4 linked regions of the Anolis sagrei genome follow. The protein of the gene in region 4 interacts with the protein of the main gene of each other region in a pairwise test. Links are inferred from orthologs where the notes say so. Each region holds a gene or a part of one and is shown on either strand. Other genes may lie near its edges.

Region 1 (7,602 bases), about 95 Mb from region 4:
AATGAGACATCTAAGAGATGAAGCACAATTCTACACATTTGTGTCTCATCTCTTAGATGTCTCATTATCTACATATACATTTTTACACATAACCCGATGGTGTTTTTATCCAATATTTTCAATAATGTTGCATATGTCTATACCGAAACGCCAAAAGGCCAGTGTCAATATCTTAGCCACCTATGTGGGTGTTACTATCTTTTTGTAAGAGGATTTGAAAAAGATGCACTCATAGGTATATGATTTTGTGTACAATGAACCACTCAAAAGCAAAGAAGTCACTATCCCAGGGTGAAGACTTCATCCAGTGTGGCACCAGATCTGGCTACGGTTGTCCACGCTTTAGTTGCATATCGCTTGGACTACTGCAATGCTCTCTATGTGGGGCTGCCTTTAAAGATAGTTCGGAAGCTTCAACTGATTCAGAGATCGGCAGCCTGATTACTAACCAGAGCACCGCCCAGGGAACGGACAACTCCCATGTTATGGCAGCTCCACTGGCTACCGGTTCACTTCTGGGCTAAATACAACCTACAAAGCCCTGAACCAGTGGTTCTCAACCTGTGGGTACCTAGGTGTTTTGGCCTAGAACTCCCAGAAATCCCAGCCTATTTACCAGTTGTTAGTATTTCTAGGAGTTGAAGGCCAAAACATCTAGGAAACCACAGGTTGAGAACCACTGTCCTAAACCATTTGGGCTCAGACTACTTGACAAACCGCATCCCTGTTTACAAACCTGCTCAGACACTGTGATCATCGGAGGGGACCCTCCTCTCAGTCTCACCCCCATCTCAAGTGCAGCTGGTGGGAACGAGAGGGGGGGCTTTCTCAGCCCCTTCCCTCTGGAACTCCCTCCCAATGGAAATCAGAACAGCCTCTTCACTTCTCACTTTAAGAAACAATTAAAAACTTTACTCCTCTCCTTTAAGAAACAATTAAAAGCCTTAGACAACATATTGAACATCTCTACTGGGAGAAACTGTTCCAAGACACACAGAGATATGAGAGAATGCTTCTGGAATATGGCCATACAGGCCAGAATGCACATTAGCTTATAGAGAGGAAGATAATTAGTTTATTATTCATTCTACCCCGCCTGATGATGCTGACGGTGATTACATTACCTTAACTTATTGGAGAGCCATATTCTCATATTTTTATACAGATTTTAACTGCCTACTCTGTTGTTTATGATGCCGGTTGGTTTTATGTTTTAATCAAGGTTGTTTTGTTTGCTTATTTTTAACTGGTTTTGTTTGTTTTGTTTCTGTTTTATGTTGTAATTGCCCATGGCATTGAATGTTTGCCATCTTTGTTTTTGGAAGCCACCTTAAGTCACTTTGGAGAGAGGGGGCGGGTTAAAAATAAAGTAGTAGTAGTAGTAGTAGTTGTTGTTGTTGTTGTTGTTAAACTACAGCTCCTATAATTCCATGACATGGAACCATGGCATTTGAAATGGGGTCAAACTGAATTCATTCTACAGCAGGCATGGGCAAACTTGGGCCCTCCCTCCAGGGGTTTTGGACTTAAACTCCCACCATTCCTGAAAGCCTCAGGCCCTTTCCTTTTCCCCCTCAGGCACATAAGCAAAAGTATGATAGCTGGGATCCAATGCTGGTTGCGCAATGCGGGTCAGAATTACACTTGCACAGCAAGTGAGAGACGCTGGTGTGTGCTATAAACTTAACTATTGCTAACTTTACCATCCTTCACTATCACTCAAACTTAACTTAATTACATGTGGATGAAGCGTGCTATAAAATTAACGCTGTCTCCCGCACATCTTCGCTTCTCTAATTCTGACCCACGTTTTGTTGTTGTTGTTTTTTGTCGTGTCAGGAGCAACCTGAGAAACTGCAAGTCGCTTCTGGTGTGAGAGAATTGGCCGTCTGCAAGGAAGCTGCCCAGGGGATGCCCGGATGATTTGATGTTTTATCATCCTTGTGGGAGGCTTCTCTCATGTCCCCGCATGAGGAGCTGGAGCTGATAGAGGGAGCTCATCTGCCTCTCCCCAGATTCGAACTGCGACCTGTCGGCCTTCAGTCCTGCCGGCATAGGGGTTTAACCCACTGCGTCACCAGGGGCTCCCTGACCCGCGTTGCGCAACCAGTATTAGGTCCCAGCTATCATACTTTTGCCCAAACGCTGTTGGTTTTCGGCCCCTGCTTAAAGGTGCCTCAACCCTAGGTCCCGAACACCCCTTGACCCCCTTGAACTGCCTTGGCTGAGTGCAAGGGAATCACTCTATGATTCCAGGCCCTTCCACACAGCCATATAACCCTAAATATCAAGGCAGAAAGTTCCACAATGTTTGCTTTGAACTGGGTTATCTGAGTCCACACTGCCATATATCCCAGTTCAAAGCTAAAAATGTGGGATTTTATTCAGCTGTGTGGAAGGGGTCTCCGCCCTGAGCTTCTTCAAACTACAAATCCCAAGGCTGAGGAATTCCGAGATTCGTAGTTTGAAGAGGCTCAGGATGGAGGCCCCTTCCACACAGCTGAATAAAATCCCACATTTTTAGCTTTGAACTGGGATATATGGAAAAGGAAGGGGGCTGAGGCTGTTAGGAATGGTGAGAGTTGAAATCCAAGATCCTTGGAGGGAGGGCCTAAGTTTGTGAATGTCTGTTCCACAGTGTAGATCAGGCATGGGAGGTGTTTTGGACTTCAGCTCCCACAATTCCTAGCAGCCGGTTTGCCCTTGCCTGAGTAGAAGCCCCTTCTCTGTGAGGAGGAGGAGGAGGAGGAGGAGGAGGAGGAGGAGGAGGAGGAGGAGGAGGAGAGGGGGAAAGGGGGGCCTCGCAGATATACCATAGGAAACCTCAGCCTCTGCTCTTTACAGAAACAGAAGCCCCTCGAAGCCACGACGACTACCAAAGAAGGCAAAGCGGACCCAGGACAGGTGGCTTCTCGCTCCCGCCCTCGCCCCTCGCCCACTCACGCTTGCCGCCGAGCGATGAGGCGATGCATGGGGGTCGCCATCTTGGCCGCCGCTGGCCCCGCCCCCCGGAAGAGGAAGAGGAGGAGGAGGCCTACGGGGAGGGAGGAATGGGGCAGGGCTCTTCTCACACTACAACCTCCAGAATCCCACAGCCCTGCCTTGTCTCCAAACCACTATCCTTCCTCAAATGTGCTCTCCCATGATCAGCAGCCCTGCTCAGGTCTTGCAGACTCAAAGCCAGGGTTTTCTTGATTGAGGCAACCCACCAGGAATAATAGTAACAATAGTAATAATAATAATAATGATGATGATGATGATGATGATGACTGGCACAAGCCAGTAAAGATGGGCCCAGTGGTGATCCACACACTGGGTGCAGTGCCTAAAGACCTTGGCCTGCACTTAAACACAATCAACGCTGACAAAATTACCATCTGACAGCTGCAGAAGGCCACCTTACAGGAATAATAGTAGCAATAGTAATAGTAATAATAATGTATTGTCGAAGGCTTTCATGGCCGGAATCACTCAGTTCTTGTGGGTTTTTTCGGGCTATATGGCCATGTTCTAGAGGCATTTCTCCTGACGTTTCGCCTGCATCTATGGCAAGCATCCTCAGAGGTCTGCTGGAGCTGGGATAAAGGGGTTTATATATCTGTGGAGTGACCAGGGTGAGACAAAAGGCTTTTGTAAGTTGGGCTAGGTGTGAATCTTTTCAACTGACCACCTTGATTAGCATACAATGGGCTGACAGTGCCTGGAGCAAACTCTTCTTGAAAGGTGATTAGATGTCCCTGCCTGTTTTTCTCTCTGCTGTTTTAATTTTAGAATTTTTTAATACTGGTAGCCAGATTTTGTTCATTTTCATGGTTTCTTCCTTTCTGTTGAAATTGTCCACATGTTTGTGGATTTCAATGGCTTCTCTGTGTAGTCTGACATGGTGGTTGTGAGAGTGGTCCAGCATTTTTGTGTTCTCAAATAAAATGCTGTGTCCAGGTTGGTTCATCAGGTGCTCTGCTATGGCTGACTTCTCTGGTTGAAGTAGTCTGCAGTGCCTTTCATGTTCCTGGATTCTTGTTTGGGCGCTGCGTTTGGTGGTCCCTATGTAGACTTGTCCACAGCTGCATGGTATACGGTAGACTCCTGCAGAGGTGAGAGGATCCCTCTTGTCCTTTGCTGAACGTAGCATTTGTTGGATTTTCCTGGTGGGTTTGTAGATTGTTTGTATGTTGTGTTTCCTCATCAGCTTCCCTATGCGATCAGTGGTTCCCTTGATGTATGGCAGGAACACTTTTCCTCTGGGTGGATCTTCATCTTTACTCTTGTGGCTTGTTCTTGGTCTTGCAGCTCTTCTGATGTCTGAGGTGGAGTATCCATTGGCCTGTAGAGCCCAGTTGAGGTGGTTCAGTTCATCTTGGAGGAGGTGGGGTTCACAGATTCTTTTTGCACGGTCTGCCAAGGCTTTAATGGTGCTTCTTTTTTGACTTGGGTGATGGTTGGAGTTTTTATGTAGATATCTATCTGTGTGTGTGGGTTTTCTGTAAACGGTGTGACCCAATTGTTGATCTGGTTTGCGGATGACTAGGACATCTAGAAAAGGCAGTCTTCCTTCCTTTTCTTTTTCCATAGTGAACTGGATGTTAGGGTGGATGCTATTAAGATGTTCCAGGAACCTGTTGAGTTCTTTTTCTCCATGGCTCCAAATGGTGAAAGTGTCATCCACATATCTGAACCATATAGTGGGCTTTTTGGTTGCTGTTTCAAGAGCTTGTTTTTCAAATTGTTCCATGTAGAAGTTAGCTATGACTGGGCTGAGAGGGCTCCCCATAGCTACTCCATCTTTCTGTTCGTAGAATTCATTGTCCCTCTCAGCCCAGTCATAGCTAACTTCTACATGGAACAATTTGAAAAACAAGCTCTTGAAACAGCAACCAAAAAGCCCACTATATGGTTCAGATATGTGGATGACACTTTCACCATTTGGAGCCATGGAGATGAAGAACTCAACAGGTTCCTGGAACATCTTAACAGCATCCACCCTAACATCCAGTTCACCATGGAAAAAGAAAAGGAAGGAAGACTGCCTTTTCTAGATGTCCTAGTCATCCGCAAACCTGATCAACAATTGGGTCACACCGTTTACAGAAAACCCACACACACAGATAGATATCTACATAAAAACTCCAACCATCACCCAAGTCAAAAAAGAAGCACCATTAAAGCCTTGGCAGACCGTGCAAAAAGAATCTGTGAACCCCACCTCCTCCAAGATGAACTGAACCACCTCAACTGGGCTCTCCAGGCCAATGGATACTCCACCTCAGACATCAGAAGAGCTGCAAGACCAAGAACAAGCCACAAGAGTAAAGATGAAGATCCACCCAGAGGAAAAGTGTTCCTGCCATACATCAAGGGAACCACTGATCGCATAGGGAAGCTGATGAGGAAACACAACATACAAACAATCTACAAACCCACCAGGAAAATCCAACAAATGCTACGTTCAGCAAAGGACAAGAGGGATCCTCTCACCTCTGCAGGAGTCTACCGTATACCATGCAGCTGTGGACAAGTCTACATAGGGACCACCAAACGCAGCGCCCAAACACGCATCAAGGAACATGAAAGGCACTGCAGACTACTTCAACCAGAGAAGTCAGCCATAGCAGAGCACCTGATGAACCAACCTGGACACAGCATTTTATTTGAGAACACAAAAATGCTGGACCACTCTCACAACCACCATGTCAGACTACACAGAGAAGCCATTGAAATCCACAAACATGTGGACAATTTCAACAGAAAGGAAGAAACCATGAAAATGAACAAAATCTGGCTACCAGTATTAAAAAATTCTAAAATTAAAACAGCAGAGAGAAAAACAGGCAGGGACATCTAATCACCTTTCAAGAAGAGTTTGCTCCAGGCACTGTCAGCCCATTGTATGCTAATCAAGGTGGTCAGTTGAAAAGATTCACACCTAGCCCAACTTACAAAAGCCTTTTGTCTCACCCTGGTCATTCCACAGATATATAAACCCCTTTACCCCAGCTCCAGCAGACCTCTGAGGATGCTTGCCATAGATGCAGGCGAAACGTCAGGAGAAATGCCTCTAGAACATGGCCATATAGCCCGAAAAAACCCACAAGAACTGAGTAATAATAATAATAATAATAATAATGACTCAGGCACAAGGCAGTAAAGGTGGTCCCAATGGTGATCCGCACACTGGGTGCAGTGCCTAAAGACCTTGGCCTGCACTTAAACACAATTGGCGCTGACAAAATTACCTGCTACCAGCTGTAGAAGGCCATCGTACTGGGATCTGCATGCATTATTCGCCGATACATCACACAATCCTAGACACTTGGGAAGTGTCCGACGTGTGATCCAATACAACAGCCAGCAGAGTGTCTGCTTTGGACTCATCTTGTTGTGTTTCAAATAATAGTATTAATATTAAGATTCCAAATGTAGACTCTTCAAGGAAGCAGATGAAACAATAGATCACATCCTCAGCTGCTTCAATAAGATCGTGCCAACAGACTACAAGCAGAGGCATAATACCATTGCTCAGATGATTAATTGGAATTTGTGCCACAAATACCATCTGCCTGCAACAAAGAACTGGTGGGATCACAAGCCAGAAAAAGTTACAGAGAATGAACACGTCAAACTCCTCTGGGACTTCCGAATTCAGACAGACAGAGTTTTGGAGCACAATACTCCTGAACTCACGATCGTGTTAAAAAACAAAGTATGGATCACCGATGTTGCATTCCCAGGTGACAGCTGGTTTGAAAAGAATTAACTGGAAGAGCTGGCACAATATGAGGATTTAAAGATCGAACTGCAAAGACTCTGACACAAGCCAGTAAAGGTGGTCCCAGTGGTGATCCGCACATTGGGTGCAGTGCCTAAAGACCTTGGCCTGCACTTAAACACAATCGGCGCTGACAAAATTATCATCTGCCAGCTGCAGAAGGACACCTTACTGGGATCTGCACGCATTATACGCCAATACATCACACACTCCTAGACACTTGGGAAGTGTCCAACGTGTGATCCAATACACCAGCCAGCAGAGTGTCTGCTGTGGACTCATCTTGTTGTGTTTTTAATAATAATAATAATAATAATAATAGCAATCATAATAATTGTCCTCTGAAGGTGCCAGCCATAGATGCAAGTGAAATGCCAGGAGAAAATGCTGCATGGGCAAACTTCGGTCATCCTGGTGTTTTGGACTTCAACTCCCACAATTCCTAACAGCCTCAGGCATAAAATCACAGGAAGGGTTATTCAACCTGAACATTAAGAGTGTGGTGGAAGCTCTTCCTTAGAGGCTTTTAAACAGAGACTGGATGGCCATCTGTAGGGGGTGTTTTGATTGCGTTTTTCCTGCATAGCAGGATGGAGTTGGACTGGGTGGCACAAACCAAGGTTTCAACAACATCTATTATAGAACTCCAGTATGCTGATGACAATGTTGTCTGTGCGCATTCAGAAGAAGACCTACAAGCCACTCTAAACACCTTCGCAGAAGCATACGACCAGCAGTGCTGTAGAATTTGAAGAGGCATGAATGGAGGGCGAAAGAGAGAAATGTGACAAGAGAAAGGCGCATCAAGCCAACCCTGACCAGGACCGCCTTCAACC
Region 2 (7,377 bases), on a different chromosome or scaffold from region 4:
CCACACTCCAGGGCAGAGAGTTCCACTGCTGAACAGCTCTCCTTATAGTTAGGGAGTTCTTCCTCTTGTTCAGGTGGGCTCTCCTTTCCTGTAGTCTGAAGCCATTTTTCCATTGTGTCCTAGTCTTCAGGGCAGCAGAAAATAAGCTTGCTCTTTCCTCCCTATGACTTCCCCTCGCCTATTTATGCCTGGCCCTCATCATGTCTCCTCTGAGTCTTCTCTTATGCAGGCTAAACATGCCCAGCTCTTTAAGCCGCTCCTCGTAGGGCTTGTTTTCCAGACCCTTGATTTTTGTGCCACCCTCCTCTGGACACATCCCAGCTTATAGTCAATGGTGCCCAGAATTGGACATAGTGTGATTCCAGGTGTGGCCTGACCAAGGCAAAATACCATGACTTCCCTTAAGGTGAACCAATCACTGGGGTTTTTATGTGTATGTAAATGGCAGGAATGTATATAGCAATGTATGTATTGGTGGAAAATCTGTTTATGGACATATGTATATATTGGTTTTTATCTATGTGTTTATGTATTAGTCTAATTTAAAAGCATGGGAAAGGGAATATTTCCTCTTCTGCACAGACATGAATGGAAAAAGGAACTCTCCCCAGTTTTAAATATTTAACAAGGAGAAAGATGACCAACAAGGTGTGGAAACTATGAATCCCAATGACAAGGGGCTTATTAGGGTGTTGGATAGGTTTACCTTGAAGAAAGGGAAGCGTGAAAGGGAAGCACGAGAGCCAGGTTTAAATATTGGAAGGGAAATCCCATTGAGGAGGAATTAGCAAGCTTGCAATGGGTTTAAAAGCAGGAAATAAGATTCACGGAAAGGCTTCTGAGCCAATCTTGCCATGAAAATACCACCTTAAGCACCAAGGATCCCCCCCCCCCCCACGCCCCACGATGATTTAATTTATGAGCTACCAATTTGGCCAGATCCCTGCAAGATGAAAGATAAGCTTTCAGCTTCATGACAAGGAAAAGTATCATCTTTGGGTTTGGCACTAAAGGATACCCCACCCTTTCCCCAAATTATGGCTGATCACCTGTCAAGTGCCAGATTCCTGCATGATGAAAGATAAGCTTTTGGCTTTGTGACAAGAAAAAGTATCACCTTTGCGTTTGGCACTAAAGGATACCGCACTCTTTCCCCAAATTATGGCCAACCACCTGTCAAGCACCAGATCTCTGCAAGAGGAAAACGATGATTTGATTTACGAACTACCAATTTGACCAGATCCCTGCAAGATGAAAGATAAGCTTTTGGCTTTGTGATAAGGAAAAGTATCACCTTTGGGTTTGGCACTAAAGGATACCCCACCCTTTCCCCCAAATTATGGCCGACCACCTGTCAAGCGTCAGATCCCTTCAAGAGGAAAACCATGATTTGATTTATGAACTACCAATTTGGCCACATCCCTGCATGATGAAAGATAAGCTTTCACCTTTGTGATAAGAAAAAGTATCATCTTCGGGTTTGGCACTAAAGGACACCCCACCCTTTCCCCAAATTATGGCCGATCACCTGTCAAGTGCCAGATCCCTGCAAGAGGAAAAGAAAGCACTTAGGTTTTGCTATAAGGAAACGCTCTCAGGATTTGTGACCAAGGAAAGACTTTTGAACGAAGTTTGCCAAGAAAATCCCATGCTTTTAGGGTTTGGCACCAAAGGGGTTGATTGAACAGCCATCAATAGCCAGATCCCTGCAAGATGAAAGATAAGCTTTCAGCTTTGTGACAAGGAAAAGTATCACCTTCAGGTTTGGCACTAAAGGACACCCCACCCTTTCCCCAAATTATGGCCAATCACCTGTCAAGCGCCAGATCCCTGCAAGAGGAAAAGAAAGCACTCAGGTTTTGCTATATGGAAACGCTCTCAGGATTTGTGACCGAGGAAAGACGTTTGAACCAAGTTTGCCAAGAAAATTCCATGCTTTAGGGTTTGGCACTAAAGGAGTCGATCGAACTATCAATTTGGCCAGATCCCTGCATGATGAAAGATAAGCTTTCAACTTTGTGACAAGGAATGGTATTACCAGGTTTGGCACTAAAGGATACCCCACCGTTTCCCAAATTATGGCTGATCACCTATTAAGTGCCAGATCCCTGCAAGAGGAAAAGAAACCACTCAGGTTTTGCTATATGGAAACGCTCTCAGGATTTGTGACCAAGGAAAGACGTTTGAACCAAGTTTGCCAAGAAAATTCCATGCTTTAGGGTTTGGCACCAAAGGGGTTGATCAATCGGCTATCAATGGCCAGATCCCTGCAAGAGGAAAGGTAAGCACCCTGGCTTTAGGACGAGATAAGACTTCGGAACCAGGAAAATCTTAAATTTTGACATAAAAGGACCTCTGTCCCACCATGGTTTTATTGATAGACCATTAATGGAAAAACACCGTAAGAGGAAAGGTAAGCTCTCAGGTTTTGTGGCTTCTTAACCAATTCTTCCAAAACAATCCCATGCTTTAGGGTTTGGCATCAAATGAGCCTATTATCCTGGTTGTGGATGGGCAGATCCTTGCAAGAGGAAAGCTAGGTTCTTAGGTTTTGTGACAAGGAAAGGCTTAGGAGCCAAGACTCCACTTGCTTCCTTTACTTTTAGGGACTTCTGTACCTTTAATGCAAGCCTGGGCAAGCTTGGGCCCTCCAGGTGTTTTGGACTTCAACTCCCACAATTCCTAACAGCCTACCGGCTGTTAGGAATTGTGGGAGTTGAAGTCCAAAACACCTGGAGGGCCCAAGCTTGCCCACGCCTGCATTAAAGGTACAAAAGTCCCTAAAAGTAGGGAAGCAAGAGGAGATTTTCCCAAGTTTTCAATCTGAAAGAATGCGACCTTTTTCGGGTTGAGAACCCAGAGGCCAAGAAGCCACCCCATTCCCTCCTTGGCTCCTTACCTGGGTGGGTCTACCTGGGTGTCTGTCACTAGTGGACGAAGAGTTCTCCTCGGTCGCCAAAGACGGGCTGAAGCAACAGGGAAAGGCTGGAGGCGCTCAAATAGCCAAGCCCCACCCGAGACCGCCCCACGCGGGACCGCCCCACCCAAGGAGGAGGTGCTCACTCAGATGCAGGGGAGGAAAAGGAGAACGAGGGGGTAAGGTGGCCTCCCTTCAGTGCCTGGTATCAAGGGGTCTCCCCTCTGCCTTTGAACCACTCAGTGGTTAGATCCCTGCAAGGGGAAAGGTAAGCCTTCAGGCTTTGAGACAAGGAGGGGCTGCTTTCTGAAACCTTTCTTCCCAGGAAATCTCAAGGAGAATGAGGGGCTAAAGTGGCCTCCCTCCAATGCCTGGTACTAAAGGGTCTCCCCTCTGCCTTTGAACCACTCAATGGTTAGATCCTTGCAAGGGGAAAGGTAAGCATTTAGGCTTTGCGACAAGGAAAAACTTCTTTCTGAATACTTTCTCCCCAGGAAGTCTCAAGGAGAATGAGGGGGTAAGGTGGCCTCCCTCCAATGCCTGGCACCTAAGGGACCTCCTTTGCCTTTGAACCACCTTATGGCTAAATCCCTGCAAGGAGAAAAGTAAGCCTTCAGGCTTCGCGACAAGGAAAGGCTTCTTTCTGAAACCTTTCTTAGCAGGAAATCTCAAAGAGAATGAGGGAGGGGAGGGTAAGGTGGCCTCCCTCCAGTGCCTGGTACCAAGGGGTCTCCCCTCTGATTTTGAACTACCTTATGGTTAGATCCCTGCAAGCGGAAATGTAAGCCTTCAGGTTTTGAGACAAGGAAAGGCTTCCTCCTGAACCCTTTCTCCCCAGGAAATCTCGAGGAAAATGAGGGGGTAAGGTGGCCTCCCTCCAATGCCTGGTACTAAAGGGTCTCACCTCTGCCTTTGAACCACTCAATGGTTAGATCCCTGCAAGGGGAAAGGTAAGCCTTCAGGCTTTGCGACAAGGAAAGACTTCTTTCTGAACCCTTTCTCCCCAGGAAATCTCAAGGACAATGAGGGGGTAAGGTGGCCTCCCTCCAATGCCTGGTACTAAAGGGTCTCCCCTCTGCCTTTGGACCACTCAATGGTTAGATCCCTGCAAGGGGAAAGGTAAGCCTTCAGGCTTTGCGGCAAGGAAAGGCTTCTTTCTGAACCCTTTCTCCCTGGGATGTCTCAAGGAGAATGAGGGGTAAGGTGGCCTCCCTCCAATGCCTGGCACCCAAGGGACCCTCTTTGCCTTTGAACCACCTTATGGCTAGATCCCTGCAAGGGGAAAGGTAAGCCTTCAGGCTTTGTGACAAGGAAAGGCTTTTTTCTGCACCCATTCTTCCCAGGAAATCTCAAGTTTGGCACCAAAACAAACTTCCCTCTGCTTGTGGCTGGTGACACTTATACAACACAATATTTGTTACTGGGCTATTAATATCATTTCCTAATTGGTTCTATCCTTAAAAACATGGACAAAGTTTATTAAATTGCCAAAACTTTGTTCTCTGCAGGAGGGACATCTTGCTGTAAGCACATTTGGCTATAGCTTTTCTATAATTAATGTCTTTCTTAATTAGTTAGGCGATCCCTCGTAGCCCGAGGATGATGGTCCTCCAAGTGGAGTGTCTTGGTGGTGGGTCCATAGGTGGCTGTGGAGCCCTATTCCTGATACGCATGTTCTTATGCAGCGAGGACATCAGTTTCCAGATGGAAGGCAGTCCCAGTCAGAGTTGGCTTGACGTGCCTTCCTCTTGGCACGTTTCTCCCTTTCGTCCTTCATTCGTGCCTTTTCGAATTCTTCGAATTGAGCGCTATAACTGGAGGTCAGCTGTGACCAGTAGTGCTGCAGAATTCGAAGAGGCATGAATGGAGAGCGAAAAGGAGAAACAGGCCAAGAGGAAGGTGCATCAAGCCAACCCTGACAGATTCATCTATCTATAAATTTGGATAAATTGTGTTGATCTATCCATTAGCCAGATCCCTCCAACAGGAAAGATAAGTCTTCAGGCTTCGTAACATGTCACATCTTGATAGGGTTTTGCACCAAAAGACCCACTCCCTCTGGTTGCGATTAATGATCTAACCCTGCAAACGCTCCAGTTTTATGACAAGGATTTCCTTCTGAACCATGTTGTTCATTCGTTCAGTCGTCTCCGACTCTTTGTGACCTCATGGACCAGCCCACGCCAGAGCTCCCTGTCGGCCGTCACCAACCCCAGCTCCTTCAAGGTCAGTCCAGTCACTTCAAGGGTGCCATCCATCCATCTTGCCCTTGATCAGCCCCTCTTCCTTTTGCCTTCCACTTTCCCCAGCATAATTGTCTTCTCTAGGCTTTGCTGACTCCTCATGATGTGGCCATAGTGGCCAATAAAAGCACTGTTGAGTTTGTTACCAAAGATTCCTCAGTACTCAAATGCTTGAAAGATGAAAGGTAAACACTCAGGCTTTTTGGCATGGAAAGGCTTCTGAGCCAATCTTGCCATGAAAATGCTGCCTTGAGCACCAAAGTACCCCCCCCCCCAAAAAAAACCCCATGGTTTGATTTATGAGCTATCAATTTAGCCAGATCCCTGCAAGATGAAAGATAAGCTTTCAGCTTTGTGACAAGAAAAAGTATCACCTTCAGGTTTGGCACTAAAGGATACCCCACTGTTTCCCAAATTATGGCTGATCACCTATTAAGCGCCAGATCCCTGCAAGAGGAAAAGAAAGCACTCAGGTTTTGCTATAAGGAAACACTCTTAGGATTTGTGACCGAAAGAAGGCTTTGGAACCAATTTTGCCAAGAAAATCCCATGCTTTTGGGGTTGATCGATCAGCCATCAATGGCCAGATCCTTGCAAGAGGAAAAGAAAGAACTCAGGTTTTGCTATAAGGAAAAGCTCAGGATTTGTGACCGAGGGAAGACTTTGGAACCAATTTTGCCAAGAAAATTCCATAGTTTAAGGTTTGGCACCAAAGAGGTTGATCGATCAGCCATCAATGGCCAGATCCCTGCAAGAGGAGAGGTAAGCATCCTGGCTTTAGAACAAGATAAGACTTTGGAAGCAAGAAAATCTTAAATTTTGACATAAAAGGACCTCTGTCCCACCAAGGTTTTATTGTTAGACCATTAATGGAAAAACACTGTAAGAGGAAAGGTAAGCTCTCAGGTTTTATGACAAGGAAAAGACTTCGGAACCAATTCTTCCAAAACAATCCCATGCTTTAGAGTTTGGCATCAAATGAGCCTATGATCCTGGTTGTGGCTGGGCAGATCCCTGCAAGAGGAAAGGTAAGTTCTTAGGTTTTGTGACAAGGAAAGACTTTGGAGCCAATCTTGCCACGAAAACTCACTTATGGTTTGGTGCAAAGGAACCCTCTTTGCCCTCTGGTTGTGGCTCATTATCAATCAATTGCCAAATCCCTGCAAGAGGAGAGATAAGCTCTCAGGATTTGTGGAAACGAAAGGCTTCTGATCTATTCTTGCTAAGAAAACTTCCTAATAGAATTGCCTCGTCCACATTGGACTAGTTTGCTTTTAAGAACCTTAGGAAGAACTTCTAACTCTATAGCAGGCCTGGGCAAGCTTGGGCCCTCCAGGTGTTTTGGACTTCAACTCCCACAGTTCCTAACAGCCCAGCGGCTGTTAGGAATTGTGGGAGTTGAAGTCCAAAAACACCTGGAGGGCCCAAGCTTGCCCAGGACTGCATTAAAGGTACAGAAGTCCCCAAAAGCAGGGAAGCAAGAGGAGTCTTCCCCAGTTTTCAATCTGCTAATTCTGAAAGAATGCGATCTTTTTCGGGTTGAGAACCCAGACTCCATTATCAATCAATGGCCAAATCCCTGGCTCATTATCGATCAATGGCCAAATCCCTGCAAGAGGAGGGATAAGCTCTCAGGATTTGTGGCAAGGAAAAGCTTCTGACATATTCTTGCTAAGAAAACTTCCTAATAGTGCTGCCTTAGGGTTTCATATCAAAGGAAACCCTCCCTTATCCTAGTTTGGGCTGGTAATCTGTCAAATGGCCAGATCCCTGCAAGAGGAAAGATAGACTCTCAGGTTTTGTGAATGAATTTTGCCATAATGTTCATTAATTTATTTATATAGATCAGTGTTTCTCAACCTGGGGGTCAGGACCCCTGGAGGGGTCACGAGGGGGTGTCAGAGGGGTCACCAAAGACCACCAGAAAACACAGTATTTTCTGTTGGTCATGGAGGTTCTGTGTAGGAAGTTTGGCCAAATTCTATTGTTGGTAGTGTTCAGAATGCTCTTGCCATGAAAATCCTGCAATCAGATCATTATAGGTTGGAAATGTTTTGAAGGCTCACAACAATTGCAAATGGCTCGGTCTGTCTATGGTGGTGGAAATGGCACTTCGTACATGCTCAGGTTCACTATGATGCAGTGCACTCTCTCCGCCTCAGAAGACAGCAAAGGCAACCAGATTTCAAACAATTCTAGCCAAGGAAACCATGTGAT
Region 3 (7,212 bases), about 78 Mb from region 4:
AAAGAACATTTCATTCCAATTTTCAACAGTTTCTGGATACAGAACAAAAGAGAAACATGCTGATCCTAGGAATGAATTGTGTGACACTTGGAAGGTGGGAGTTAGGGTGTTCAAACTACAGGAAAAAATAATCCATCTAAACTTTTAGGAAAAAATTCCTGATGACAACAGCTGTTCAACACTGAATTATGCTACCTCATAGGGTGGCAGAGTCTCATTCAGTGTAAGTGTAATAACAGAGGCTGAATGATTATCTTTTGGGAGAGCTTGATTGTGAATTCATGCTTGGCATGGGGTTGGACTAGATGACCACAGGGGTCTCTTCCTACCCTATGATTCTATCTGTAACCTATAACTCTTTTAAGATTCATTTGATTTAAAGTTGGTATGTTAATCTTAGAAACAAAAACACTTTTTGAAAAAAACTCCAGGCAGAAGAAACACCAATGATCTTTCAGGCCATTCCAACAACCAAGGATGAATCCTTTTGTTTCCTTCTTTTAAGAAGTGCATACAGAAGACTAGAGTATCTTAACTTTGGGTTTACCCTTTGCTTTATTTTAATCACTTCACACTTAGAGAGAAGCCTACATTTTTAGTAAAACAAAGGACAACATCATTAGAAATTCACACTAATTTCATTATCACAGCAACATAATATATTTCAATTAGTTTCACATGGTATGGTTGCTGATGACACGATAAATAAATAACCAGGTGCACTGTTTAATGTAATGCATTTCATGAATGGTACTATGGTGGCACAGTGGGCTAAAGCGCTGAGCTGCTGAGCGTGTTGATTGAAAGGTAGCAGATTTTAATCCGGGCAGCGGTGTGAGCTTCTGCTGTCAGCTCCAGCTCCTGTCCACCTAGCAGTTTGAAAACATGCAAATGTGAGTAGATCAATAGGTACCGCTCCGGTGGGAAGGTAATGGCATTCCATGCAGTCATGCCTGCCACATGACCTTGGAGGTGTCTATGGACAACGCCGGCTCATCAGCTTAGAAATGGAGATAGGCACCACACCCCAGAGTCGGACACAACTGGATTTAATGTCAGGGAAAAACCTTTACCTTTACTTACTATGCACTTTATATGTTTTTAACTTTATTATTAGTGAATGCATTTATTTGCTTAACTGTTTTAATTGTTTAGTTGATTGAATTTGTTTTATGGCCGTGTTTCAAGCAGCACTGAATTTTGCCGGGGCTGTAAGCCGCCTTAGTCGCCCAATGGAGTGAGAAAGGTGGGGTATAAATGAAGCGAATAAATAAATGCATTTCAGACAGAGTATGGGACATGTAGTCCTGCAAATGATGCTGGACTCTCACCAACCCTCACTAGTGTAAGCCATGGTAATGGATGATGGGAGAAGCGGTCCAACTGTATATGATGCATTTCTTTCCACTTATAATAAAAGTAACACTGCATTGCAGATCCATGTACAGCAGACTCTCAAGCAACCAGCAAAACTAAAATCAAAGAATTAATCATTCATTCACAAAGCTGTATTTAGAATACAGTAAAACTGTGTGTGTCTTAATTTGCTTTCAGTTACTGTATTTTAACATTAATATCAAGTCAATACAGAGTTTATGATATGGTATAGCATGAGGCATATTTTTCACTGTAACTCTCAAGCAAACAAAAACTCCATCTGATGGGTGCAGGTTAACTGATAGCCTGCTGTATTTGTAATGAATGGAAAATAATCCACATTTTATCGAACTCAGGATTTGTGTGTGTGTGTGTGTGTCAGGAGCGACTTGAGAAACTGCAAGTCACTTCTGGTGCAAGAGAATTAGCCATCTGCAAGGACGTTCTCCAGGGGAAGCCCAGATGTTTAATGTTTTACCATCCTCGTGGGAGGCTTCTCTCATGTCTCTGCAAGGGAGCTAACAGAGGGAGCTAAACCCGCTCTCCCCGGATTCAAACCACTGACCGCTTGGTCAGCAGTCCTGCTGGCACAAGGGTTTATCCCATTATAGAACCATAGAATCGTAGTTGGAAGAGACCTCATGGGCCATCCAGTCCAACCCCCTGCCAAGAAGCAGGACAATTGCATTCAAAGCACCCCCGACAGATGGCCATCCAGCCTCTGTTTAAAAGCCTCCAAAGAAGGAGCCTCCACCACACTCCGGGGCAGAGAGTTCCACTGCTGAACAGTCAGGAAGTTCTTCCTCATGTTCAGATGGAATCTCCCTTCTTGTAGTTTGAAGCCATTGTTCCGCATCCTAGTCTCCAGGGAAGCAGAAAACAAGCTTGCTCCCTCCTCCCTATGACTTCCTTTCACATATTTATACATGGCTATCATGTCTCCTCTCCCAACCTTCACTTCTTCAGGCTAAACATGCCCAGCTCTTTAAGCCGCTCCTCATAGGGCTTGTTCTCCAGACCTTTGATCATTTTAGTCACCCTCCTCTGGACACATTCCCATCTCTTCTCTGTTTCCTTTCATCTCTAATCTACAAGCTTGCTCTTTCCTCCCTGTGGCTTCCTCTCACTTGGCTATCATGTCTCCTCTTAGCCTTCTCTTTTGAATGCTAAACATGCCCAGCTCCTTAAGCCGCTCCTCATAGGGCTTGTTCTCCAGACCTTTGATCACTTTAGTCGCCCTCCTCTGGACACATTCCCATCTCTTCTCTGTTTCCTTCCATCTCTAATCTGAGTAACAGAATTAACTATCAACACGTGGCTTGTTGCATATGAAGAGCTCACCTGGCAGCGCCATGCAGCAACTCTAGCAGCCTGAGCTCAACCCAGGGTCCTTTCTCTTCCAGGAACAACTTCCCGAGAGCGACGCTTCCCCGCCGGAAATCTGGGACCAGAGCACTGAGGGCTTTACCACCATCTGCAATGGAGGGGGGGGGGAGAAAGAAGGGAGAAATATTTACTTACATAGAAGAGGGGAGACTCTTAGGCAGCCAGTATTCAACTATGTTTTAAAGCATTATGGCTTACTTCACAGTCCCTTCTCTTTTTTCACCGCGGAGTCATTCAACTCTAACTCCTTTCTTCCTTTGGACACTCCCCCCCTAGTCTGGTAATGGAATGTTCCCCTTCCCATGAACCAATCCCAACGAAAGAAGGCGGGCTTGTTGAATTTATTTATTTATCCTGCCAGGAGTGAACCAAAACAGTTGTATTGCGTTAAAATCAATCAAACAAACAAACAAAACACAAAGTTTGCAGACCTGGTATCCAGTCAATTATATTACATTTCTAACAGAACAAAGCAAACAAACAGAGAAAATACAAAATGTGTGAGTTTGGTAGTTGCTTAAATGTCCTTTGACCAGTATCTGGCCACTTGGAGTGCCTCTGGTGTTGCTGCAAGAAGGTCCTCCATTGTGCATGTGGCAGGGCTCAGGTTGCATTGCAGCAGGTGGTCAGTGGTTTGCTCTTCTCTGCACTCGCATGTCGAGGATTCCACTTTGTAGCCCCATTTCTGAAGGTTGGCTCTGCATCTCGTGGTGCCAGAGCGCAGTCTGTTCAGCGCTTTCCAAGTCGCCCAGTCTTCTGTGTGCCCAGGAGGGAGTCTCTCATTTGGTATCAGCCATTGGTTGAAGTGCTGGGTTTGAGCCTGCCACTTTTGGACTCTCACTTGCTGAGGTGTTCCAGCGAGTGTCTCTGTAGATCTAAGAAAACTATGTCTAGATTTAAGTCGTTGGCGTGCTGGCTGATACCCAAACAGGGGATGGGCCAGAGATGTCACTGCCTTGGTCTTTTCACTATTCACTATTCGGACCAATAGGAGCGCAGCAAAGTTTGTTGCCTGAAGGAGTAGAAAAGTGTTATACATTTGAGTCAAAGAAGACTTTAGTTTGTGCCTCGTCTCCAGAGACATTGAACAAAGCTCAACCAATTACACCGCACGCGCGACCCATTCTTTCCGCCCACTCCTTCCCTATGTCATCATTACACCAGCCGGGCTCAATCTACAGCTCACTGCTCCGAGGCGGATAGAAAGTTTCGGGTGGCGGTGTTCAGTCGGAAGACTTTAGGTAACGCACTTTGGACTGTTCCAATATCCAATGGGGGAGGCCTCCCGAGTTATGAGATAAGTACTGATACGGATTCGATCCATATCCTCCCATCCACTGCCTTAACAAGTTACATATTGTGAGACGCCGAGCCAGGTTCCAATAACAAGGTTTGGAGACTTGGCTTTCCTTCAGCGTTGCTCTCTCTCTTCTCTCCCCCCCGTTGCCGAAGTGGTCGCGCCCGCTTTCCAAGATGGCGGGAGGTTTGCCCTGGAGCTTTGCTTAAACCGAAGCGAAAGCGCTTTCCTTCCGTGTTTTCTTCCCTGTCAAAGGACTGGGCCGAAGGCAGCGCCATGAGCAACATCTACATCCAAGAGCCGCCCACCAACGGCAAGGTGAGGGCCCATTTCGGGAGAGGAAGAGCTGGGGTGCGTCTACGCTGCGGAATTAACGCGGTTTGAACCCGCTTTGAACTGCCATGGCTCAATGCTATGGAATCCTGGTAGTTTTACAAGGTCTTTGCCCTTCCCTGCCAAAGAGTGCTGATGCCAAACGACAACTCCCACCATTCCATAGCACTGGGCCATGGCAGTTGAAGTGGTGTCAAACTGCATTAATTCGACAGTGTAGATGCAGCCTAATAGCAAAGCTGTTGGTCTTTGATGTTAATTTTTAATCTACATTTTGTTTCTTGCCATGCCAGCTTATGTTTGTGTGGAGTTTTTGGAAAAGGGCATTCATAACATTTTGGAAAACGTCATTTGGAGATCGTAACTTTTTAAGAAAAGCATGACCTTTCAGAGAAGAGTCAAAAACGCTTTAGTGTAGACTCTTCTCTTGTGGTATACAACCAGATATAATTATGCAAGGTAATCAGTTTCAGTTGTTAGACTGAATAACCTGTTATCGCTGATCTGTTAGAAAACAGATTTTGCCAGTGCATAAATAAACAGCAGGGCAAAAGTATGACAGCTGGGATCCTACGCTGGTTGTGCAATGCGGGCATGACTTAATGAGGGAAACACGTGCGCATGACAGCGCAGCGAGTGAGAGACGCAACTGCGACAGAGTCATAGAATCATAGAGTTGGAAGAGACCTCATGGGCCATCCAGTCCAACCCTCTGCCAAGAAGCAGGAATATTGCATTCAAAGCACCCCTGACAGATGGCCATCCAGCCTCTGTTTAAAAACCTCCAAAGAAGTTGTGGGAACATTGTTTGCCAGAAAGGGGGAGAGGAAACATTTCTGTCCCGTTTATCTTCTTCGTAAACCATTGTTTATCATTTCACAGTAAATAAGTCTAACATTACTTCACTCGCCTTAAGCACTATGCTTGGCTGTTTGTTGTGCCCCCCCCCCTTCATTAATTCTGACCCACGTTGTGCACGTCTTCCCATCGTTCATTCTGACCCGCATTGCACAAGTACCGTACCATAGGGTCCCAGCTATCATACTTTTTCCAACAGCAGTGCTTCAGAAGTGTTTTTCAGTGCCCAAAAATATACTCCCCCCATAAAACAACTTGTTTTATGTATTATCGAAGGCTTTCATGGACGGAAATACTGGGTTGCTGTGAGTTATCCGGGCTGTATGGCCATGTTCCAGAAGCATTCTCTCCTGTTGTTTCACCCGCATCTACGACAAGCATCCTCAGAGGTTGTGAGGTATATTGGAAACAAACAAGGGAGGTTTATATATTTGTGAAAGGTCCAGGGTGGGAGAAAGAACAATCAGCTAACACCTCCCAACAAAGGATTCCCCTAGGCAGGAATCAGCCAGCCCTTGAAGCTGCGAAGATTTGCGATGCTAATCAAGGTGATTAACTGCAACATTCACACTTGCCTGCAACAGACAAGAGTTCTTTCTCCCACCCTGGACATTCCACAGATATATAAACCTCCCTTGCTTAGTTTCCAATATACCTCAAAACCTCTGAGGATGCTTGCCATAGAGATGGGCGAAACATCAGTAGAGAATGCTTCTTGATCATGGCCATACAGCCTGGAAAACTCACAGCAACCCAACTTGTTTTATATCATACACTCAAGAGACAAAGATTAAGTAGACTTGGATAAAAATAACATATTTGGTTTACTCACAACCTTCATGTGTTCAGCATACACAGGTGCAAAACTTATCAGTCCAGTTTCAGATATGTTTGAGATAATTCTCTGTACTATCTGGCCAGAACACTTCTTATAGCAAAACAACAGGTGTGTGATCTGAGGTCTGAAGTTTGCTATCAGCAGTCTGTAGTAATCTGCTATGATCATGTGGCCTGTAGTCTGCAATAGTCTGTCTGTCTGCAGTCTGCTATAGCTCATGGGGTCTACAGCCCCTTTTATAACTTCTTAAGAACCATAGAGCAAAGGAAGCTGCATACCAGAACATACATATAAAGAGTAAGCAACGGGATAATAGATAAACATTACTAGAGAAGGCTTGAAGAAGGATGTCATTTCAACAGTGTGGGGAATAAGCAAATTGGATGTACATTTTATTTAGTCAGAGTAGTGAATGCTGGATTTAATTACTCCGAGCACTTAATTAAATAAAAGGCATCATTGGATGTGCCTATGTGGCCTGTCAAGTGCAGATGTGACAAGAAATGGGATGTATCTGATGCATCAAGTTACGGTTTGTAATGTACATTCAGAAATGTGTAAATGGTTTATTCTTCGTTATTAAACGGGGTCTGTGTATGTTTTATGGCAGGCAAGGGCCAATATGGGCCCTCCAGGTGTTTTGGACTTCAACTCCCATAATTCCTAACAGTCGGCACCAGATCCCATTTGATCTTGGAAGGCCGAAGTTTGCCCATGCCTGTTTTATGGACTTGGAACCCAGACACATTTTTCACTGCAGCTAAAAAAAATGTTTCTGATCTCCTATTCAGTGTTCTTACCTGGTTCAGGTGCACTAAACCCCTTTGTTAGGGATAACACAAAGACATAACTGAGTGCATCAAGTTTTTATGAAATGCTCTCCAGATTAACTGACTGTTCCTGAAGCCTCCCATATGTGACCATTGCATGTTTTGTGGGAAGCAACAAGCAGGAGGGCAGATGTGCCTGGTTACATAGAATTGTAGAGTAGGAATAGAACCCAAGGACCATCCTGTCCAACCCCATTGTGGCATGTAAGAGAAGCACAATCAAAGTACCCCCAACGGATGGCCATCCCGCTTCTGCTTAAAAATCTCCAGAGAAGGAAACTCCATCATGCTCC
Region 4 (6,961 bases):
AGGTAGGTGCAATGTGCAGATAATCCTGAGTCTCTAGCAAAGTGCAATTGGGACTTGAAACCAGGAGTTTCCTATTCTGGAAAGGCACACTGAAACAGCCAGGTCTTCAGGCTCTTCCTAAAGACAGCCAACGTTGGGGCTTGTCTGATGTCTTTGGGGAGAGAGTTCCCGAGTCGGGGGGCTACCACAGAGAAGGCCCTGTCCCTCATTCCCACCAAACGCGCCTGCGACGCAGGTGGGATCGAGAGCAGAGCCTCTCCAGATGATTGAAGGGAACGTGCGGGTTCGTAAACGGAGATGCGGTCATGCAGGTAGGCAGGTCCCAAACCGTTTAGGGCTTTGTAAGTGAGCACCTGCACCTTGAATTGGGATCGGAAAATGAACGGCAGCAGTAATACTACTGTAATACTACTGTAGTAATACTACTGTAGTGCAAATAGCACTAGTAGTACAGTAATACTACTGTAGTGCAAATAGCAATCAAGCTATAATCCAACCATCCAATATATAAGACAACAAGCTGGATTCAAATCCTAGATCCATAACTGAGCTGTCAGAAAATGCCTTTTATATTCAGAGTTCAATTTTCCCATCTGTACAATAGGAACAATTAAGATTGGCCCTCCGATCTCCCAAAATGTGTGGAATTAAGCAACAAATCTTGCTGGAACATTCACTTTTTCCATCTTTATTCCAGACAAACGCATCCTTCAGCATAGAACACTTGACCAGCACCTGTACTCTCAGTCTCTCTTAGTTTATCTGCTTATCTAACATATTCAAACACTCTGAGAAAAGTCTGGACATTGAAGAAAAGTAACAGCAGCAAATTAAACCCATTTGAATGTGGGGCTGGAGAAGAGTTCTGCAGATATGGTGGACTGCTAAGAAGTCCCATAAATGGGTGCCCAAGAGCATATCAATGGGTGCCCATATCTCAATCTCTTCGAGGTTGAGATATGCTCTTGGGCACCATAAATGGGTGCCCAAGAGCATATCTCAACCTCGAAGAGAACTCAAGGCGGCTTTACATATAGGCAACTATTCAATGCTTTAAAACATACAAATAATATAAACATTTAAATTATGAATATAAACTAATGCACATCAAAACATTTAGAAAACATTTTATTCACTGTTGAAAACCATACCATCGACAATCATTAATCTGGGGCCATTCCAGTAGTCATTGCACATAATCTGTATCTATTATTACATTACAATTATTCTCCGAAGGCTTGATCTCAAAGCCACATTTTCACTTTCCTTCTGAAGGCCAGGAGGGAGGGGGCTGATCTAATGTTGCTGGGGAGTTCCACAGCCAAGGAGCCACCACGGAGAAGGCCCTGTCCCCACCAGTCGCACCTGCAAAGGAGGCAGGATTGAGAGCAGGGCCTCCCCAGAAGAGTTCAATACTGAATGCTCCCTAGAAACTAAGGCCCCTTCCACACCGCTGAATAAAATCCCACATTTTCTGCTTTGGACTGGGATACATGGAAGGGTGGACTCAGAGAATCCAGTTCAAAACAGATATTGGGGATTGTCTACTTTGATATTCTGAGTTATACGGCTGTATGAAAGGGCCCTGAGTCCACAGTGCCATATATTCCAGTTCAAAGCAGATATTATGGGATTGTCTACCTTGATATTCTGGGTTATATGGCTGTGTGGAAGAGCCCCAAGACAACTAAACTGAAGCTGTCATATTTTAGCCCTGTCATGACATGGAGCCCCCAATGGCACAGAGGGTTCAACCCCTGTGCTGGTAGGATTGAAGACCAACAGGTCGCAGGTCCGAATCTGGGGAGAGAGCATATGAGCTCCCTCTATCAGCTCCAGCTCCTCTTGCGGGGACACAAGAGAAGCCTCCCACAAGAATGATAAAACATCAAAACATCAGGGTGTCCCCTGGGCAACGTCCTTGCAGACGGCCAATTCTCTCACACCAGAAGCGACTTGCAGTTTCTCAAGTAGCTCCTGACACGACCAAAAAAAAGGGGGGGGGGACATGGCTCACCAGAAAATAAGACAATACTGACTGGTAAGTTAGAAGTCAGATGGAAAATAAGATCACACTACAGATGGATAGGTTCACTTATGGAAGCCAAAGCCTTGAGTCAGTGAGAGCGACTGTTCAGTGCTACTGGAAGACTCTCACCCATAGGTTCACTATAAGCCAAAGTTTACTTAAAAGCAATCGACAACAAAAAGGGCCACACTTTAATAACACTATGTAACAACATTTGATTTTTACCCCTGTTCCTGATTTCATAGAATCATAGAATTGGAAGAGACCTCATGGGCTATCCAGTCCAACCCCCTGCCGAGAAGCAGGAAAATCACATTCAAAGCATCCCCAACAGATGGCCATCCAGCTACTGTTTAAAAGCCTCCAAAGAAGGAGCCTCCACCACACCAAATATTAATTCCTGTTTAATTGTGCGGTACTTACTTTGAAAGTAGTTGTTATACTCCAGAAACTTTGTTTTTGTGGCTGCCACAAACTATGTTCAATTGGTTAGGACTCGATGAAATAGTCATTGAAAAGCTATAGCAAAAATGTGCGGCAGGATGTCCACCATAAACAAAGTTTTTGCATTTAAATAAACTTTCCTCATGTTTTTATGATAGAGTCAATTAGGAAATGACATTTATAACCCAGAGACAAAAATCGTGTTACAAGCCAGGCAGTGCAGGGAGACACTGCGTCTTCAACACAGAAACAGGATATTTGATGGTGATGATTATGATACTCATTGATATTCCCTCCTTTCTCCATACAGGAGGGCTCAAGGAGGCTAACAACATGTTTTCAACTATACAAATGAAAAACAATACAAAAGCCAGAGTTTATATACGTCTGATTAAAAGTGTATACTGTAATACATACAATTACACCTGATCACAAGAGCACCCACCTGCCTCCCTTCAGCCCTTTCTGTTCCTGCTTCTTCACTCTCTGCAACTCTGAAGCCTCCACTTCCTGGAACCTGATTCTATCTCCACCTCTTTCATTCCCATTGGCTTGCGGCTCTCAACGCCCTCTTCCTATAGGCTAAGGAAGATGTCCATCAACAGTTATGCTTCAAAGAGCTGAGAAATGGGGTGTGTGTAAAGGAGACGTCATAGATTTTGTGTTGATAAATACAGACTGAGACTTTGGTTAAGACAGAAGTTAAGCTGTATCAACACTGCAAAAATTAAATTGCCATGGTTCAATGCTATGGGATTTATAGTTTTACAGGGTTTTAGCCTTCTCTGATCAAAAGTTTTGGGGCCTCCTCAAACTACAACACCCAGGACTCCATAGCATTGAGCTATGGAAGTTAAGTTGGTATCAAGTTGTGTTAATTCCACGATGTAGATGCACCCCTAAACTTTTATGGGTGGTTGGGTTTTGTAGATGTTTCTCAAGCTTCAGAACTACACTTTTGGAAAGCAGGGCCATTTAAGGCCATTTAGTGAGCTCCCGCTGTTAGCCCCAGCTTCTGCCAACCTAGCAGTTCAAAAACATGCAAATGTGAGTAGCTTAATAGGTACTGCTTCTGCAGAAAGGTAACAGCACTCCATGTAGCAGTTCAAAAACATGTAAATGTGAGTAGCTCAATAGGTACTTCTTCTGTGGAAAGGTAACAGTGCTCCATGTATCCATGCTGGCCACATGACCTTGGAGGTGTCTATGGACAACGCTGGCTCTTTGGTCCAGAAATGGAGATGAGCATCACCCGCTAGAGTCGGATACAACTAGACTTAATGTCAGGGGAAACTTTTACCTTTTTAAAAGCTAGCTTCAAACTGCAGCAATCAGGCAATAAACTCCACAAAAGGACTTGAAAGAAATTCTTTCATGAGCATCACTGGTCTGTTATATAATCACCATCTGGGCTACAAACCCATTCTAGGACTTTATATGTAATCATCTACACAACCAAACCACTTTCTTCAATATCGGTTTGGAACTGCATTAATAGAGAAATAAAGCAATACTGTTGTGTATTGTCGAAGGCTTTCATGGCTGGACTCACTGGGTTGTTGTAGGTTTTTTCGGGCTATATGGCCATGTTCTAGAGGTATTCTCTCCTGACGTTTTGCCTGCATCTATGGCAAGCATCCTCAGAGGATGCTTGCCATAGATGCAGGCGAAATGTCAGGAGAGAATGCCTCTAGAACATGGCCATATAGCCCGAAAAAACCTACAGCAACCCAATATTATTGTGTGTTGAAGTAGGGATTTGCAGCAGGTGTGTCGTTTCTCCTGAACAGGCTGACTGGCTTATTATGAAAACAAAGTCCATATCAAAAGGCGGAGCTGATGAACAAAGGGACACGGTATTTATTTAGTACACTAGCAGAGTTTGCATTGGAACAAGCGAAACCAGAGGGAGAGAGAGAGAAATAGGAGTGCCACCAAGAATTAAAAGAAGTTGAACGACTGCATGCCTGTTCTACAAGGTTGACTTCAAAAACCAACAATGTTTTGGAAGAAATGCAGAACCATTTATCTGAAATCAGTCCTGCTTAAATCTGACAAATTGTGTGGGTTCAACATGATATAGCAGGATAGTGATAAAAAAGAATGGATGACATCTCTGACCGAGCACAGGCTAAAGACACTATTAGGGCTTACTCCACGGCTCGGCGGGCAGCCGAGAAAACCTTCTCGACTGCCCACATAGTGTCTGCAGCCAATAGGCCATCAGAGTTGTTCTGGGTTGTTGGGGACACCCTCCACCCACCTGAGGTGAAGGACATCCCTGATGACACGGCAACTCGGTGCAGCGATTTCACGCACTATTTTGCAGGCAAAGTCGCTCGGATACGTCTCGAGCTGGACTCCAATTTAAATGCAATGCCAAATGAGGTAACCGAGGCTCCCGTCTGTCCGATCTTATGGGATTCTTTTTGTCTTATTTTGCCTGATGACATTGACGGGATCCTGGGGGCTGTGAGGGCAACCACTTGTGCTCTGGACCCTTGCCCTTCCTGGCTAGTTAAATTGGCAAAGGGTGGGTTGTTGGACTGGTTTATCTCCATCATCAATGCATCATTGGGATGGGAAATTCCCATCCTGCCTTAAGCAGACAGTGGTAAAATTACTGAAAAAGACTTCCCTTGACCCATCCATGCTGAATAACTACAGACCAATTTCTAACCTCCCTTTTTTGGGCAAAGTGCTGGAGCGGGTGGTTGCCTCGCAGCTCCAGGGGTTCCTAGATGACACCGATTTTCTAGATCGATCACAGTCTGGTTTCAGACCCAGGCACAGTACCGAGATGGCTTTGGTCACTCTGGTGGATGACCTCCACAGGGAACTGGACAGGGAGAGTGTGACCCTGCTGATTCTCTTGGATATCTCAGCAGCTTTCGATACCATCGACCATAGTATCCTTCTGGGTCGGCTTTCCGGAATAGGACTTGGGGGCACGGTTTTACTGTGGCTTCGGTCCTTTCTGGAGGGTCGTTCCCAGATGGTAAAACTGGGTGACACCTTCTCGGACCCCTGGCCATTGACCTGTGGGGTCTTGCAAGGCTCCATTCTGTCTCCCATGCTTTTTACCATCTATATGAAACCACTGGGAGAGGTCATCCGGAGTTTTGGAGTTGGGTGCCATCTCTATGCGGATGACGCCCAGCTCCACTACTCTTTCCCACCGAATCCAAGGAAGCCCCTCGGATGCTGGACCAGTGCCTGGCTGCTGTATCAACCTGGATGAGGGCAAACAAGCTGAAGATCAATCCCGACAAGACACCCAATATACTTGACCAGGGTATTGGGTGGCAACCTGTGCTGGACGGGGTTGCACTCCCCCTGAAGGCGCAGATCCACAGCTTGGGGGTCCTCCTGGACTCAGCACTGATGTTTGATGCGCAGGTGTCAGTGGTGGCTGGGAGGGCCTTTGCACAATTAAAACTCGTGCGCCAGCTGCAACCATACCTTGCGAAGTCTGACTTTACCATGATGGTCCACGCCTTAGTTACCTCTAGATTGGACTATTGCAATGCACTCTACGTGGGGCTTCCCTTGAAGACAGCCCGGAAAATTCAATTGGTTCAATGCTCGGCAGCCAGAATTCTAACGGGGGCAAATTACAGAGAGCAGTCAATCGTCCTGTTTAAGGAGCTCCACTGGCTGTCGTTCATCTTCCGGTAACAATTCAAGAAAGTGTTATGTCGTCATGGACAAATCATAGTGCTTGCATGGGGCCATTCTTTTTTTTGTCTGTGAAGTATATTTGGCTTGTTGGAAAAGAGATTTGTATGTTGCAAAGTCACTCAGATACGTCTTTGCACTATATTTGTATTAATACCTGGAAGCCATTGCGCCATCAAGGTTACTGCTAAAAAAAACCCACCCCGGGCTCTTTGCTCCTGATTTTCAATTAGCTTCCCAGGAAAAAAAAACCTTTGAATTTCTAGCAACACTGATGCTGTGACTTTGATACAGCTCAGGAAATCTTTTGGTTTTAGTTGCTCCCTTGCTACATGGTGTCCAAAAATAAGAGCACAATCGCAATATAAATTTAAACCTATTTGAAAATTATATAACTATCATGAGCCCCATCCACAAACCATAAAAATGGTTGCCTAACTCACGTCATTAGTCTCAGATAGACCCATTGAGTGAGTTGGATCTGTTAACTCTATAGGTTTGCTATAATTCGGGCTAGCAAGTGAATTTCCAATTTCATGTTGGGGATGACGTTTATCCAAAAAAAAAAAAAAAAACAAAGCAAAAAACCCTCCAGCCATATCAAGTTTCCTGTCTGTTTCTCTCTGTGAAGTTACAGAGATAGTGCAGAAAAGGATTGGAGAGGCTGACCAGATTTAGAAGTGTATCTACATCAACCAGATAAATCTAACTTTGTAGCATCCTGGAACATTTTGGCTATCCATAAAGCCGATCAGTCCCAAGAATGCATTGGGGCTGTCAGTGCATCGCTATCAGCAGGCAGCTTCCTCT

What was found.
Region 1: the proteins of PRR13 (region 4) and ZCCHC10 interact in binary tests that used the Homo sapiens proteins (3 or more experiments, as listed by UniProt). The two-hybrid records come from large-scale screens. The link is inferred for Anolis sagrei from reciprocal best matches to the Homo sapiens genes PRR13 and ZCCHC10.
Region 2: the proteins of PRR13 (region 4) and LGALS3 interact in binary tests that used the Homo sapiens proteins (3 or more experiments, as listed by UniProt). The two-hybrid records come from large-scale screens. The link is inferred for Anolis sagrei from reciprocal best matches to the Homo sapiens genes PRR13 and LGALS3.
Region 3: the proteins of PRR13 (region 4) and SREK1IP1 interact in binary tests that used the Homo sapiens proteins (3 or more experiments, as listed by UniProt). The link is inferred for Anolis sagrei from reciprocal best matches to the Homo sapiens genes PRR13 and SREK1IP1.

The regions. Positions count from the first base shown.
Region 1 is NC_090022.1:95,250,953-95,258,554, forward strand, and holds the start of ZCCHC10 (zinc finger CCHC domain-containing protein 10), read right to left. Parts: upstream 3,018-7,602; 5' UTR 2,985-3,017; coding exon 2,944-2,984; intron 1-2,943.
Region 2 is NC_090021.1:336,975,605-336,982,981, forward strand, and holds the start of LGALS3 (galectin-3), read right to left. Parts: upstream 3,009-7,377; 5' UTR 2,900-3,008; intron 1-2,899. UniProt on the Homo sapiens protein: Galactose-specific lectin which binds IgE. May mediate with the alpha-3, beta-1 integrin the stimulation by CSPG4 of endothelial cells migration.
Region 3 is NC_090022.1:268,457,864-268,465,075, reverse strand, and holds the start of SREK1IP1 (protein SREK1IP1), read right to left. Parts: upstream 3,001-7,212; 5' UTR 2,962-3,000; intron 2,852-2,961; 5' UTR 2,732-2,851; coding exon 2,719-2,731; intron 1-2,718. Other genes in the region: spliceosome-associated protein CWC27 homolog, read left to right, coding at 4,337-4,378. UniProt on the Homo sapiens protein: Possible splicing regulator involved in the control of cellular survival.
Region 4 is NC_090022.1:190,607,810-190,614,770, forward strand, and holds the start of PRR13 (proline-rich protein 13), read right to left. Parts: upstream 3,002-6,961; 5' UTR 2,891-3,001; intron 1-2,890. UniProt on the Homo sapiens protein: Negatively regulates TSP1 expression at the level of transcription. This down-regulation was shown to reduce taxane-induced apoptosis.